Linked DNA regions of Ovis aries. The protein of the gene in region 1 purifies or fractionates together with the protein of each later gene. This does not show direct contact. Links are inferred from orthologs where the notes say so. Each region holds a gene or a part of one and is shown in the gene's direction. Other genes may lie near its edges.

Region 1 (4,435 bases):
CAACGGCACCTCTGATACTAGGTTGTGAGGGGCACTGTGGCTTTGTTTTGCGCACTTGCTGTTTCCCTGGCTCGGATTCTCTTTCTGAGGCCTCACTCCGCGAAAGCCAGCTGCCTTACAGAGAAGCCAGAAGCTGTGGGCAGCAGGGAACTAAATCCTCCAGCCAACAGCCTGTGAGGATCAGAGCCTCCTGCCCACAGCACGTGCATAAGCTTGGAATGCTTGCAGATCCTGAAACCAGGTCCCTGGCTCACAGTTCAACCACAACCTCACTAGACGAGCCAGAACCACCGAGCGGAGCTCTCCCTGATCCTCGGTAAGGACAGTGTATGTTGGTCGTTTCAAGCTGCTAAATTCCAGGGTTATGTTTTTACACAGCAATAGGTGACTAATATAACAGAGTTAGATAGTTTTCAAAAAGCACTTGGGTTATCGAAAAACAAACTTTTGCTCAGTCAGCGATTGGGCAATGTAGCAGGACGCAGGATGAGTGCGTCGGGGACTAGCCGGGCAGTTTTCAGGTGCGCCAACAGGAAGCCTCAAAAGTGTGTATGGAATAAATACAAGATTGGAATGCTCTGCCTTTGGCCAACTCAACTTTCTACATGTTAAGCTGACCATGTGACTCTTCATTACAGAAAACTCGCAAATATTCCCCCAAAGTTAAGACATTTCCAAAAGATACCAAGGTCAGTATTTCACATTAGGTTCTGTGACCTAAAACGCCCCCACCACGTGCAATCCAGGGGTGTGTGTTTGTGATGACTCGGGTGTGAAGCATTTGAGGTCTTGCACTCCGCGAGGAGGAGGCGAAGGAAGAAGAGATGCATGCTAGACCGGCGTTGGCAGCGCAGGCTCCGCCAGCCTGGCTACAAATCATAGGCCCGGCTTGGCGCTGCAAAATCCTCGCTGGTTGAAGGCGTGGGCATGTGTCCGATAGTCGCCACGCCTGGTGGCGTCTGGGCTAGGAGCTCCCAAAAGGGCGACCGCATGGTGACTTGGGCTGGAAGGGGAAAGGCCTGGAGAGAGCTATTTGGACACCCGTGGATGAACGTTCGACGATAACTTCCGGGAGGGCGGACATCGGCGAGTGGGCGCGAAGGCAGCCTAAGGCCGGACAGCTGCCACTCGCTGACCTCGGCTACTTGATGGGATCGGCTGTGCCGGCTCGTCCCCGCGGCGTGATGGCAGCGGGCCCTCGAAGGGAGAGATGCCCGCTGACGGAGACGCGCCCGTGACACACGCGCGTCCCAGCACCTCGCAGAAATACCATGCCGCGCTCAGGTTTCTCGTGGCGCTCAGCGAGACCATCTCACTTCCCCACCCCTTCAGCTTGCCGGCAGACTCCTGAGGATACCCGGGACTAAGAAAAGCCTGTGGCAAAGAGCACAGGAGCCCCAACCGGACAAGTCTCCTTTGCCGCGCTGCCCAAACGGACGCGCCCACGAGGCCGGTCCGCAAGATGGCGGCGGCGCGCTGCCGGCAGCTCCTCGCACATGCGCTATCCGCGGCCCGCCCGGCGCGAGCGGAAGTCGCGTGACCCCGGAAGTGGCCGGCAGGGCGCGCGCGGGCGGGGCGGCGACGTTCGTCATTCTGTGCGGGAGGGAGCGCGAGAGCGGCGCGGACGATCCTCCGGTGAGTGCGGGCGGCGAGGCCAGCGAGCGCGGTGGGCACGGCGGGCGAGGCGGCCGCGGGGAAGGAGGCCGGGGCCGCGCCTTTGTTCTCGCTTCCCGCCCCGCCCGCCAGTCCCGCTGAGGGAATCTGCGCAGGGCGGGGGCGGCATTGACAGCGGGCGGCGCCCCGGGCGCAGGGCGGGCCCACGTGCGATCGGGGGCGCGGGGATCTGGAGGCGGGGGCGCGTGTGCCGGGGGTGGGAGCCGGGGTCTGTGCAGACCTCTTTTGTGGTCGCTGCTCGTACTCGGCAGCCCCCTGCTTGCTGGTGCGCGCGGACCAGGGCCAGGCGGGACGCCTCCTCCCCTGGGAGGTGAGGTCCCTGCGCCCCACCCTGCTTGCCGGGCCTCGCCTGGCCCAGATTGCAGGCCCTGCGGAAGTGCGGGCCTCGCCATCGCACTTAAATGATTTTGTCGCCTGCGGCCGCGCTTGAGTGACGTTAAGGCGTGAGCCTTCTAGAGGAATTCCAGAGGAAGCTGCAGGGAAGCTTGGAAAGAACGAGCCGGCCCCACCCTGCCTGTGGCGGCCGGGCGGTTCCGGGTCCCCAGCGGCCCTTTGTAAGATCGGGTCCTCACGCACGTCCCGGCATTGGCTGTCTTTACTGGCAACCGGTGGCCCTGACCCACCTCCCACACCGCCGGGTCTAGTCTGAGTCGGTTTCAGGTACTCCTCAGGGATTCTGCGGGGTGCGACGGTCATCCTTAGCGAAGGAAGTCCTGTGGCTGCCCCATCACTTCTCGCTTTGACAGCATTGCTCTGGGCTCTTCTGGGGCCCGGGCGGAAGGAGGATCTTGAGACTACCCATCACATGGCTGCAGCAGTTCTCAAATTCTAGGTCACAGACCCTCACAATTAGAGATTGGTTTGTCGGACAGGTAGGGTCTTTTAGGCCATTTCAGGACTTACCTGTGGGACTTAGGCTAGCCCCGTCATCTGAGCTCTAGGGGAGACCTGTGTTTGGGCTGGAGGGAGACATGACTGACCCATGTCCTGCACAAAGGCCTTGGTTTGTAGCTGGGGCGTTTTTGAAGGAACAGGCTGGTCAGAGAGAACCCAGCAAGAGGGTTTCCTTGAGGAGAGGGCCTAGGCAGCTCAGAACAAGAAGCAGCACTTGGTCCTGGTGCTTCCTGGTTGGACCCAGGTGCTGCTGCTTCCTGGGCAGCAGGGAAGCTGTGCCTGCTTTCCTTTCATTTAGCTCTGGATGCTGGGGTGAGGTCCTGTGAGGTGGGCAGGGCGAGGAGGTGAGTGGCCCCTTTGGGCTTCAGGAGCCTGTGTCTGGGCCTTTTATGAAGTTCTGGCTGTCACTGCCTTCCTGTTAGAGAACGTGCACCTCCCCTTGGGCCCAGGTTGGGGGTTTGGCCACTTGCAGAGAGCCAGTGCAGACCACCTGCAGGTCCTGCAGAAGGGCAGGTGGGGACACACTGTGGGTCCCTCCAGGCTGCCGCAGCCCCTGCTACTCTGGTCACAGGTGTCTCACATCCAGCTAGAGGTGAGTATGGCTGAGCAGGAGCCCACAGCCGAGCAGTTGGCACAGATTGCGGCAGAGAACGAGGAGGACGAGCACTCGGTCAACTATAAGCCCCCGGCCCAGAAGAGCATTCAGGAGATCCAGGAGCTGGACAAGGACGACGAGAGTCTGCGCAAATACAAGGAGGCCCTCCTGGGCCGCGTGGCTGTGTCTGCCGGTAAGTGGGCCCCGGTGGGGTGTGTGGACACCTGTCGCTTTTCTGGGTGTCCGCCACTATTTCCCCTGCTGGCGGAGCTCTAACTTGCTGTCACTCTGCAGACCCCAATGTCCCCAATGTTGTGGTGACCCGACTGACCCTGGTGTGTAGCACTGCCCCGGGCCCCCTGGAGCTGGACCTGACAGGTGAGTGGCATCTCCAGGTTCCTCGCTGGGGCTGCCTGGCACCCTGCTAATTCCCCTAAAAATAATTTGTTGAGATGCTGGCGCCCTCTTGTGGGGAGCCTAGGAAGTGCAACCAAGTGATTTTAATAAGGCTCTGGCTTTGGTGTGGCCTGGGATTGGAGGGTGGGGTGTGTGTGGGTGTCTGGGGTGTGGCCTGGGATGTCAAGGGGTGTGTGTGTGGGTGTGGGTGTGTGGGTGTGTGTGTTTGGTGTGGCCTGGGATGCCGGGGGTGTGTGTGTGTAGAGGGGCAGACAGGGCACCCCACCAGGGCCGGAGTGGCTTCCCCTACCTGAACCTCCTAGTGTGGCGTTCCTCTCAAACGCAGGTGATCTGGAGAGCTTCAAGAAGCAGTCTTTTGTGCTGAAGGAGGGTGTGGAATATCGGATAAAAATCTCCTTCCGGGTAAGGAGGAGGCTTGGGGGGATGCTGGGGGCTCGGACTGGAGAGTCTGGCTGAGCCCCGCTTGTGTGCCTCCTTGCAGGTGAACCGAGAGATTGTGTCCGGCATGAAGTACATCCAGCACACGTACAGGAAAGGCGTGAAGAGTGAGTGCGGGGGCACCAGGAGGGAGGTGGCCACCGGGGGCTCAAGGGGCGCCGGGAGGGAGCGGGGAAAGGCCCGCCTCAGCTCCCTGACGGACGCCCTCCCCGTGCCCCACAGTTGACAAGACTGACTACATGGTGGGGAGCTATGGGCCCCGGGCGGAGGAGTATGAGTTCCTGACGCCCATGGAGGAGGCGCCCAAGGGCATGCTGGCTCGAGGCAGCTACAACATCAAGTCCCGCTTCACAGACGACGACAGGACTGACCACCTGTCCTGGGAATGGAACCTCACCATCAAGAAGGAGTGGAAGG
Region 2 (3,641 bases), on another chromosome or scaffold:
GGAAACTCAAATAGGAGAAGTTACGCTGTCCAGGCAAGAATCAGAGATGGGGCCACTGGGGGCTGGAGACATCAGAGGAGGATGTTAGCCTCAAGGTCAGCCGCTGGTCCAGCTGCGGGGTTCCGGTGAGGGCACAGACAATCCCTCTGCTTGTCCTGGAGGATGCTCCCCCCCCCTGGCACGGAGGACACCTGCCCCCACTGCCCCACCCCGTTGCTGGGGTCAGGGGCTTTCCCTGTCTCTCGCCTTTTACAGGAGAAATCTAGAACTGGGTGGGGTCGGGTTTGGGAGAAGCAAGCCAGAGGCCCGGCGTCCCCGAGTCAGAGTCCGCCCTGCTCTGTCCTGCAGGACTTCGTGTTCTACGCCCCACGCCTGCGGATCAACAAGCGGATCCTGCAGCTCTGCATGGGGAACCATGAGCTGTACATGCGCCGCCGGAAGCCTGACACCATTGAGGTGCAGCAGATGAAGGCCCAGGCCCGGGAGGAGAAGCACCAGAAGCAGCTGGAGCGGTGAGGGGGCGGGGCGATGGGAAAGGGGCGGGGCAGAATGGTGAGGGGCGGGGCTGGCGGTTCCCTGTGTGCGGGCCCCCTGAGGCGGGGAGCCATCAGGGCACCTGAGGTCCGTGCTGTCACCAGTGTCCTCTGCCGGGTGGACAGGCCTGGGGCTGGGACGAGCAGGCTGCTGTGTGGACACCAGGCTTACCTTCCCCTCCTGGAAACAGGCAGCAGTTGGAAACCGAGAAAAAGAGGAGAGAAACTGTGGAGAGAGAAAAAGAGCAGATGATGCGTGAGAAGGAGGAGCTGATGCTCAGGCTTCAGGACTACGAGGAAAAAACCAGGAAGGCTGAGAAAGGTGGGTGGGGCCTCCTGGGAGGAGGGGCTCTGGTCCGGTTGTGATGGGAGGGTCGGATAGTGGGCACACAGGCAACCCAGAGGGACCTCTCTCCGTTAAGCTCACACCCAAAGTAGAGACTTTCAGAAGAGACATGATAAAGTGGTTACTTGGATTAGAAGCTAGTTCTGTGGGTTCTGTGCCAAATGCTTCTGGACGTAATCTTTTTAAATTTCCCCGGGGTCCGATGGGGTGACGTTTGAATTATCCCCGTTTCTGATGAGGATGCGGAGGTTCGCGAAGGCTCTGCCAAGCTCACCCAAGCCGTGCTGCACGGCCCACCTTCTAAACCGACAGCGGGCGAGCAGTCTTGATGAGAGCAGCTGGGCGAGGGGTCAGCCAGCCTGGAGGGTGTCCTCACCCTGGGGATGTGGTCCTCTGAGCCCCAAGGAAACAGTTGCCCAGTGCTCTCCGCAGGGTCTTTGGGAGGAGCGGCCCCAAACCCGGTCCCCTACTCCACAGCATGGGGGTGATTCCTGCCCAGGTTCCATCCTGTCCCCTGGGGGGAAATCGGGGCAGGACTTGAGGGGTCCCCGACCATACCTTGAGCGGCTCTGGTTCTGCGCTCTCTCTAGAGCTCTCTGACCAGATCCAGAGAGCGCTGAAGCTGGAGGAGGAGAGGAAGCGGGCCCAGGAGGAGGCGGGGCGCCTGGAGGCTGACCGCCTGGCCGCGCTGCGCGCCAAGGAGGAGCTGGAGAGGCAGGCAGCGGACCAGATCAAGAGCCAGGAGCAATTGGTAGGAGCCGCCGGCCTTGTGCTGAGTTACAGGGAGGCTGCCCCTGGGGACTGGCAGAGTGACTGACACCTGCCTGATGATCATTTGTGCATTACGGCGGCAGGGCTGTAAAGTGATCTGAGGGTGTAAGGTGGCCGGTGGGGAGGGAGCCCCGCAGTGGCTGGCCTCGGGCGGAGGAGAGTGGACGCGGCAGCCCTGGTGAGTCGCAGCCTCAGACACAGTGGGCGATGGACCCTGCCGGCCAGGGATGGGGCACTGTCTACCAAAACGTGACCCTTCCTTCACGAGTGGCGTGCTGAAACCCTTCCGGAAATAATCTGGGCTTCCGTTCCTTCCCCAGGCCACGGAGCTCGCCGAGTACACTGCCAAGATCGCCCTCCTGGAGGAGGCGCGGCGGCGCAAGGAGAACGAGGTGGAGGAGTGGCAGCTCCGGGTGAGCGCGGGGCGCCGGCGAGGGTGCGGGGTGGGCGGCCAGTGGGGGACCGCGGGGCGGGGGTCAGCAGAGACCGCACCCTCCAGGCTCAGGATGCCCCGTCAGGAACTAGCTATAAGTCAGATTACGTGGATGCCCCAGGACGGCCAGAGTCCCCTTCTGCTGCTCGGGACATGCATCCCCGCGGTGCTGGGGAAGACCTGCACCCTGGGGGTCTCCAGCCCCCACGAGTCCAGCTCTGGCTACTCCTTACTGTGCGATGGGTGGGCGGCCTCACCTCTTAAGAGGATCGGTTCCCCGTTGGAGAGCCAGGACGAGCAACACCTGGCTTGCGCTGTGCCCTCACCCCCCAAGAGGTTTAGTTGGTTGCGGCTGTAATAGAACCACATCCCCCCTGTCTCCCCCAGACTGTTCCTGGGGTGGGGGCGGGGGCGGGGCGCTGCCATCGAGTTCAGAGGGTAGACGTCTGCCAGGCTGTGGGGCTCCTCCCCCTCGCCAGCCCTTCCTCACCTGCGGTGGCCCCCTCCTCTGCACGGACCTTCACTGCCATCCCCCAACCAGAGTTGTGTGCAGAAGATTCTGGTCCTTGGGTTTTTTAAGAAAGTGCTCAAGTATTAAATGAGAGAAGTGGGTTACAAAACAGGTACAAACTTAAGCACATCTCCAGGGTCAGGATGTTGGTGCAGTGCCCCTCCACCCGTGGCCCCTCCCCCCCCCCCAGCTGCTGGAAGGATTATGGGGTGAGAATGGGTGTGAGCCATGTGCTGAGAGGCAGGGAGGAGCTTGATAAGCAACGCCCATCTGGCCACTGGAGGAAAGTAAAATGCAACATCAAAAACCCTTCAGTGGCTGGAGGGCTTCATCATATTTTTTTTTTTTTTTCAAAAATATATACAATAAGCATATACGGGGACTGTAAAGAAGTTACAGTACTTAGAAAAGTGTCTACCTTCTCTCGGTGCAGTTGACCCTGGTCTCCAGACCCGGGGGCGGCTGCACAAATGGTGGACTGGCCACCAGGTCAGCCAGAGCCTGGCCCTCTGCTTGGCGCTGCTGCAGACCGCCACATGCAGCCGGCGGAGGAAGGGAGGGTGCAGGATCTTGCTCTCCGCACGGACAGCGGGCCTTCAGTTAAAAGGTGGTTCTTAAGGACTCAAGCCCAAGGTTCTCTGTGAAAGTTCTCACCTGCCTCTCAACCTGCTTCCAAAGGCCAAGGAAGCCCAGGATGACCTGGTGAAGACCCGGGAGGAGCTGCACCTGGTGATGACCGCGCCGCCGCCACCGCCGGTGTACGAGCCGGTGAACTACCACGTGCATGAGGGCCCGCAGGAGGAGGGCACGGAGCTGAGCGCCGAGCTGTCCAGCGAGGGCATCCTGGACGACCGCAACGAGGAGAAGCGCATCACCGAGGCCGAGAAGAACGAGCGGGTGCAGCGGCAGCTGATGGTGAGGGCCGGGGGGCGGGGCCGGGGCGCCTGGGAGGGTCATCGGGCTGACCACGGGCCACTCGAGCTGACTGGGCCACTTCCCGTTGCAGACTCTGACCAATGAGCTGTCCCAGGCCAGAGACGAGAACAA

What was found. The genes of interacting proteins can lie anywhere in the genome.
Region 2: the proteins of ARHGDIA (region 1) and EZR purify together in Homo sapiens (co-purification; 3 studies listed by BioGRID and IntAct, with this or other methods). This does not show direct contact. The link is inferred for Ovis aries from reciprocal best matches to the Homo sapiens genes ARHGDIA and EZR.

Annotation. Positions count from the first base shown.
Region 1 is NC_056064.1:50,519,918-50,524,352, forward strand, and holds the start of ARHGDIA (rho GDP-dissociation inhibitor 1), read left to right. Parts: upstream 1-1,590; 5' UTR 1,591-2,334; intron 2,335-2,420; 5' UTR 2,421-2,546; intron 2,547-3,139; 5' UTR 3,140-3,166; coding exon 3,167-3,356; intron 3,357-3,457; coding exon 3,458-3,541; intron 3,542-3,905; coding exon 3,906-3,982; intron 3,983-4,061; coding exon 4,062-4,125; intron 4,126-4,240; coding exon 4,241-4,435. UniProt on the Homo sapiens protein: Controls Rho proteins homeostasis. Regulates the GDP/GTP exchange reaction of the Rho proteins by inhibiting the dissociation of GDP from them, and the subsequent binding of GTP to them.
Region 2 is NC_056061.1:82,894,257-82,897,897, reverse strand, and holds part of EZR (ezrin), read left to right. Parts: intron 1-348; coding exon 349-512; intron 513-724; coding exon 725-855; intron 856-1,469; coding exon 1,470-1,630; intron 1,631-1,970; coding exon 1,971-2,063; intron 2,064-3,272; coding exon 3,273-3,509; intron 3,510-3,600; coding exon 3,601-3,641. UniProt on the Homo sapiens protein: Probably involved in connections of major cytoskeletal structures to the plasma membrane. In epithelial cells, required for the formation of microvilli and membrane ruffles on the apical pole. Along with PLEKHG6, required for normal macropinocytosis.